Drosophila melanogaster: one gene and its partner. The protein of the gene in region 1 purifies or fractionates together with the protein of each later gene. This does not show direct contact. Each region holds a gene or a part of one and is shown on either strand. Other genes may lie near its edges.

Region 1 (3,755 bases):
AATAGATGATTTGTAGATGGAGGCCGAACGCAAAGATTATGTGGAATCAGAGAAGGCTGAAGCAAAAATGTAACAGAATGTAACCCTGTCAAAAAAAGAAACTTTCCAAACTTTCCAAACTTTCAAAACTTAGAACCTATAGTCCGTCCGTCCTTCTGGTCTTTTCGAAACGAACTTAGGACCTTGCCAGGATACCGGTTTTGTAGAAAGTTGCGGAGTGAGCGGGACGGACAGAGAGAGCGGCCGGAGAGTAATTGCAAGAGAGAGCAAGAGGCCAAATTTATATATGCACGTGGCTATATATATTTGCCTGTATGTAGGAATTGAATAAAGTTCGCGTAGCGCCAAACACAGCACGACAAAGATACAGCAGCAAGCCGAAAGCAACAACTACAACACCGGGCAAACAAAAATAGAGGCGTAAAGTCGTTGTTTTTGTAGATGAAATGCTAAAACCTTCGATATCAGCTCTATTAAAGAAATTGATCCTAGAAGCTAGTGACATTGGATCATTAAATTTCGACTTGCTCTGATGGCAATACTTTTTTCAAGATGCTTAGGTCCATTAAAACCGTTGCTTATACACACAAATGTAGATAACAAACATGTTTAGGTGTCGTATTTTTGCAACTTAAAGTATATATGGCCAATTTATCGTCTTTAAAGTTCGGTCTTGTATTTAAGCCAATTTTGGGCTATATGTCTATTATAGCTGTCCCGCTCTAACACGCGCACACACACCAGTTAAGTTCGTTGTAGCAACGGCACATCGGTGTGAGCGTGTATGTATATCAGAACGTGTATTTGTGCGATTTTGCAACGCATTTACATTCTTTTTAGGTTACGTATCGATTTTGATGCAGAGTGAGGTTAGATCGAAAAACATCCAAGTTTTTGCATGCTTTACGAAAGCAAGGACATTTTTGAAATCCCCTCGGCGCCCTCTGCATGTTTCTGGTATCAGACGTTCGATAAAGACTAAACCCCGAAAAACCTAAAACGAGCAGGTTGCAAGCAGAAGCAAAAGCAAAACGGGCGGCGTTTTTATTCACCTATTGTACAATTTTATGTTTTTAGGGTTGCCAGGTATGCATTATGTTTATCATGAATATAATATAAAACCTCGATGTGTCCGATTAGACGCAAATCAAATGTCTTTAAATGTATAATTGAGACCATGATGTCGCGCAGGGTTGCCACCGGCAGGTCATTTTTTGTCCTATTGCAATGGCATTGCGGTATATAGTCTTGCCTACACGTCGGTAGTCTAGTCTAAAATATAGCATAGTAACAAATCCAGATATATATCAGATTTCGCCTGATTTGCAAATCGCGGTCACTTGACAACCCTGAAAACACAAATGTCTTTAAAGAGACTCGTACCATATCTGGCGTATGGTACCCGTACCCAGTCCAAATAAAAAAAAACTTCAAAACCCAGTAAAAAAAATGCAAATCCCAAATGTACCATTCGATTGGACCATTATATTACAGGGTATTTTTATAAAGAAAATTATAAATATAACATAAAATGGATAAAAAAAACTACACTTACCTTTCTACGACACGACAAACTCGTTTATTAACTTATATATTACCGAAAACTATTGAAATATGACTTGTGGTCTAACGGCAACTATCAAATGTCAATGATTTGAATGAATTTAACAGCTTCTCCGTGATTTGTTTACAATTCGCAGGCAACTCCACTTCCGATGCCCTTAAACGACGAAGACTGAAACACAGACTAAAATCGCACAACAACAGAAGGTGCCGAAAAGAACCAGTCTATGCACAACTGGTTCCGAAGAGCAGCGCCCAGATTGCAAGCTAGCGGCACTTGGAATAGAGATTGGCGCGTGATTCCGGATGCCGATTTCTGATACGCATCGAGAAGACATTTTTTATGGACGTTTCTAACAATACTTATTATTTTTGTATTTATTTAGGTTGGATTTTGGCAAAACTTATTTTATCTTATATTCAACTTTGCATTTTTACGCAATTTGTATTATTATTATTATTATTATTATTAACATGATGACCAGATATAACTTAAACTGGTTACCTTCTCATTACGATAGTAATATTATAAAAGGATGTATATTTAATAGCTGAGGAGAAGCAGCATTTCTATAGTATTTATATACAAAAATAAAAAACGTTATGCAGTTCATGCACGTGTACATCCCTAGTTTGGAACCAAACAAAATCATATGTTGTTACTAGGGCTGTATAGCTAAACGTTTTATTTATGGGAGCAGAACTATTAAGTGCCAGTTGGAACTAAGACGTGATCTCCCCTGTCCCTTCTTTTGCTTAAAACTGAATCATATTGACAAATGTTTTCGGCCCGTTTAAGTAATGTGACGTTCTCATGAAATACAACGGTGAACATTGCAAAAATCGTGTTATTTTCGTTAATTGTTCCAATGGGTGAACTAGTGAACGGAGTCAGCATGTGCCAGCCCTGATGGCTGCTTTGTTGAACTAGTTCCAGTTCCGGAGCTAGTGAACCAATAGCAAACGGAACAAAACAAAAACATCTGTAGATTATAGGTTAATTTGTTTTATAATAACAAATGCGGGAATTATTCAATTAAGATGAGCAATCTGCTGAATTTTGCCCTGCGGCAGGGCGTCAACTCCATCAAGCGCCTTAGCCTCCAGAGTTTCAGACTGGCAGCTCCGGCCATTGTAACAAAAACGCCGGTTACTTCCACGATAAAGAGATTCTCCTCCCAAGCCGCCCCCTTCGATGTGAACACCAGTGTCCCCAAGGACATAATACTTTTCAAGTATGAAAACCCCCGATTCTACCAGATGCTTAACTTTTTCGGGGTGTGTCAGTTTGTTTTCTGGACATATCTCTCGCACTTCGCCTTCACGACGCTTAAGGATGCTCCAGTGGTGGAAAAACCCGGAGAGGAGCTGAAGTGGTTCCAGCGCATAAATCTGGGCGATAATAAGTACAGAAATGGCATTACAGCCTGTAGCTTTCTGATAGGTAAGAGTGGTTTACTACGTTCTCGGCAAGCCGAAAATAAAACTCAACCAACATTTTAGGATATGGCATACTGTTTGCTGTCTGGATGTTTACCCTGCGATCGGTGCGTTTTCTTATCTTGAGAAAGGGTGGTCAGAGCGTTTCCTTTGTGACCTACGGTCCCTTCAACCGGAATCGCATTATGACCGTGCCATTAAAGTGCGTCTCCGCCGAGGAATCACGGAACATGGCCAGGGTGCAGCTACCCATTAAGGTGAAGGGCAAGACACTGTATTACGTCCTGGATATGCGTGGCGAGTTTCGGAATGGCGAGTTATTCGATTACACGGCGGGCCTCAAGCGTCGCATTTAAAGGGCAAGTTTTGTTGTTTTGTAGCTTATTATTTGTAAATAAAGATGTACACTAATTAAAACTAAAATGCGGCTTAGTAAATGGGCTCCGGCTTCTGGGTGAGCAGCAGTCCAAAGCGCTTCTTGATGGTCAGCCTCTGGCGGGAGTACTTATCCTCCGGTGAAAAACGTGCTGGATGAGCAGATAGTGTGGGACGACCATCCTCGGTGCGTTTCTAGAAGAGCAACAAGTGGTGACTTAGTTGGGTAATATATATATAGGGTTTTGATAATAATATACCTTCAGGGTGTAAACGCGATCGCCGTTTTCGTTAATTGTGTACATCAGATACATTTTTGCAGTTTTTGGATTGTTTTTCTGTAGTCAAAGAAGCAGAAAATAAAACACGTGTGGCGT
Region 2 (3,755 bases), about 14 Mb from region 1:
TATCCAATTTTGATTTTAATTCGTCCTTGTTCTCCTTATGATCTTCGTCGTTCTCTTCGTCTTCAGATTCTCCAGAGTCCTCTTCATCTTCGCCGGATTCCGCATCAGAATCCTCCCCAGAACTTTCATCTTCCTTGCCAACTTCCGCGTCGCTTTCCTCCTTAACTTCCTTCTCGTCACCGTTTTCCTCTTTCACTTCCACCTTTGGCTTCTTCTCATCCGGCTCCTCGTCTTTCGGGTTCTTTGATACATACTCGTCCTTGCCCAAAGCCCAGTCCACAAATACCTTTCTCCCGAGCAGCTCTTTGCCGTTGGAGTTCAGGATCGCTTTGGTGGCCTGGTTAATGGTCTCGTACTGGACAAAGGCGCAGCCCACCAGCTTCCCGTCACCTCGTTTCAGGATGTGTACATCCTCCAGCGTGCCCCACTGCCCGAAATGCTCGCGAAGCGAGTCCTCCGTGGACTTGTAACTGATGTTGCGCACGATGAGACGCGCTCGCTTTTTCTGGCGGCGCTCCTTCTCTTCCTTCAGCCTCTGTGTGTTAAAGGGGTTGCGGCGCTTCCGGACCCCGGTTTCTGGCTGAGATTGGGATTCGGCAGCGTCGTCTTTTAAAGATTTCATTTTTTTAAGTTCCATTTGCACGTGGAACTCTTGATGAGAACTAACGAACAAAACAGCTGATCGGCAAAATACCCAAAATGAAGGTCCATCCCTGGTATAACCGATAGAAAATGGGCGGGAATTTACAAACATTTCAAAAAATGTTTTTAACATTTTATTTGTAACAATTATCAACAATTAAAAAGTCTACGTTTCTTGTTTGGTCGCGAACAGTTGGTGGAACTCCGAGGGGGTCTTGAAGTAATCAACCAGAAGCATTGAGGAGCGGTTGCCCAGTTTGTACATAATGTGGCTCCAGGGATTTAAAAAATTCTTGTATTCAGCTATTTGACCGCGTTCAAAATAGTGTTTTACAGTTCCAATGGGTAGTTGGGACCCATAGACAGCCACGTATCTAAAAATAAAGTAAGTTACTACTTATAAATGTCATGTACTACCGTACAAAGTTACTTTTCCGAGCTCTTGTATATTCTCAGTGGATATTTGGCGACAAAAGCTCGAATCGCCAGGTTTATAAGCAGAAATCCACCCACAAAGTAGTACAGATCTGATTCCTGGGACACCAGAATGGCTATGTCCATTTTCTGGACCATATCCAGGTAGTTTATGGTTGTGGCATAGTGATAGGCGGCCACCGCAGCAAGTACAGTGGTCGTGGCAGTGGATATATTCTTCGTCCAGGTCACGTAGCTCTCGATAGGGGCCCGGTAAATCAGTTTATAGTTATCTGGTAGCCTGTCGCCAAAGAGGAGCTTCCGTTCCACTTCGCCGGAGGATGCATTCCGCCATTTGCGGAGCACGCTGCTGGTGCTAAATGAGAAGGTGCAGAGTGATTCAATCGGATAGGTCAATGGATAGGTCTTACTGTAAGAGCTGGAAATTCGGTTTAGCTAGTATTGGCCGTAAATAAACCAATTTAACACTTCGTAAGAGGGCCGCACACATTTTGTGTTTTATTATGCTGTCTTTGAAAACAATCTGGCAACGTGATCAGCTGTGCTGCAATCAGCGGCACTACCCGATGGTTGTCAAAGAAGAAGGTCTGGCAACGTATGTGCTTGAGGAATGCACCGAAGAATAATCAGCTGTGCCTCGAAGTTGCCGGATCACCAGGTCGCAGCAGCTATGAGTTTTGCGTCAGACTCGAATAATGATTAGAAGCCGACTCCTTCCGGAAACATTCATTAGGTAAACAACACAGCTATAGAACAGACTTTTCCAGTTTCCACAACTTTAGCTAGGAACACGTTCCACATTTTTCCACATTTTTGATACCTTAACAAAATGGATTCAAAACGCGCGGCCCTTGAATCCGGCGACGGTCCGGACGCCAAGCGCCTTGATACCACCGATGATCAAGACAAAGAAGCGTCGGGGGGCGACGGCAGTCAGGTTATGCTGGCCAAACACGTAGCACCCTACACGGGCCACGGATGTACTCCACCGATGGAGTCCTATTTGTTCGAACCGACTCCCGCCGGGAGTCAACTTCTGCCGTGGAAAACTAGCGTTGATTTGGACAACGACGCCGAGCTGGAGAAGCCCACCAGTGACAAGAAACGTAAGTTGATGGTACGCTCACATCCTAGTACTCTTATACAACAATTTCATTCAGCCGACACTGCCAAGTTGTCCCGTCGGGAGCTGGCCAAAATGCGCCGTGAACACACATTAAGGGCCCTCGCCCTGGAACGCGAGTTGACCAACAAACCGGGGCAGACACCCGCTTCCGAAGTGTTGCTCGTCCGCTTTCCTGATCCCGAGATTACTGCTCCCATGCTGGCAGGACTGTCCAAGGATATTCGGGATGTGGTCTTGCCCATTAGCGTGGCTCCACGATACTGTCTAGTGCATCTAAAGGCCGGTGCCGATGTGGAGGCCACCATCTGCGACATAAACAGGGTGCGCTTCGGTACGGGGCACCTTCGGGCGGAGCTTAAGCCGTTCTCCGATGAGGAGCAGGCCGAGTTCATTGATCCCTGTTCTCTGTATGTGGGCAACATACCGTTCAACATGACCACATCGGCCATAAAGGCCTATTTCGCCAACGCCATGCGCGTGGACATCGGAGTGCTGAAGCGCGAGAAGCGCGCTCGCTACGCCTTTGTGCGTTACGCCTCACCTGACCAGACCATGGAAGCGTTCAAGGAGCTGGTCGACTCACCGCTGAACAGCCGCACTCTCACAGTCCGCTATCGGCGACTCCGGAAGCGCGCCGGGATGCCAATGGTGCAGTGCGCCACCTCCTTTCAGGCGCTGCAATCCCCAAATGGAGACGACGACAACACTGACTGCAAGGTCATATCTCCACCGCCGTTAGAGTCTATCATAATTAGCGACAGCGATAACTGCTCAGATTCCAGTGGCAACGGCAAGGAAGACGGCAAGCGCAAGAAGAAGATAAATGAACAGGAAAGAGAGATTGAAAAGCTCAAGCGTCAAATGGCCGAGTACGGCGCTATTATAAAAAGTTTGCAATTTAGACAGAACAGCTTAGAAGGTCTGTGTTGATCTGTTTTGAATATATACTGAGCTTACAAAAACTACTTTTCCATTCGCAGATACATTTATACCTGACCTTACACCCAAAGTAGAGCCGAGCGTGAATCCCACAGGTTGTTTACTAGGATCCAATGCGGTGCACCTAATGCGTGACATTAAGAAAGAGTGCGACTATTTGGGCATCCCTGATCCCGTACCGGCTACCAAGCCGACAACACAAGCTCAAGATGACAGCCAGAAGAAAGCCAAAAGTATACTAATACCCAAATTGAGTTCTTTGACTTACTCTCCTCCTCTTCTCTTGCTTAGGATCGTGTTTTGGCCGCTTGTTTACGGGTCCTTTCAGACGAGGCACTAGTGCGATGAAGACTGCTGACGAGTACGAGAAGGATGACAGACTTGAGGAGCTCTATGCTCAACTGGAACGCGATCCTGATCCTTAATCTGTCATGCTACAGTGTACCAAATTACTCGTCGTAGACGAATTAGAATAATAGTTTAGTTTATTTTTTATTGGACTTCTGTTTCTTTATTTGTTGTATCTTCGTTTTCGTTTTTGTTCAGTTTCTCTTATTTCAGCGTACATTTATGGTATATAATATTAATAATAATACATAATAATACGTAAGTT

Evidence for each region. The genes of interacting proteins can lie anywhere in the genome.
Region 2: the proteins of wde (region 1) and Pof purify together in Drosophila melanogaster (affinity purification with western blotting, with the first as the bait; one study listed by BioGRID). This does not show direct contact.

What each region holds. Positions count from the first base shown.
Region 1 is NT_033778.4:10,807,185-10,810,939, forward strand, and holds the start of wde (windei), read right to left. Parts: upstream 1,755-3,755; 5' UTR 1,556-1,754; intron 1-1,555. Other genes in the region: CG12935 (uncharacterized protein), read left to right, coding at 2,605-3,007, 3,067-3,359; Nop10 ribonucleoprotein, read right to left, coding at 3,433-3,573, 3,639-3,692.
Region 2 is NT_033778.4:24,667,665-24,671,419, forward strand, and holds the start of Pof (painting of fourth), read left to right. Parts: upstream 1-1,732; 5' UTR 1,733-1,810; exon of another isoform or gene 1,811-1,859; 5' UTR 1,860-1,906; coding exon 1,907-2,183; intron 2,184-2,237; coding exon 2,238-3,122; intron 3,123-3,183; coding exon 3,184-3,375; intron 3,376-3,433; coding exon 3,434-3,567; 3' UTR 3,568-3,755. Other genes in the region: CG4806 (uncharacterized protein), read right to left, coding at 1-637; CG33228 (uncharacterized protein), read right to left, coding at 809-1,016, 1,073-1,432, 1,488-1,567. UniProt on the Drosophila melanogaster protein: Probable RNA-binding protein that specifically binds to the fourth chromosome and may bind an RNA that spreads the fourth chromosome.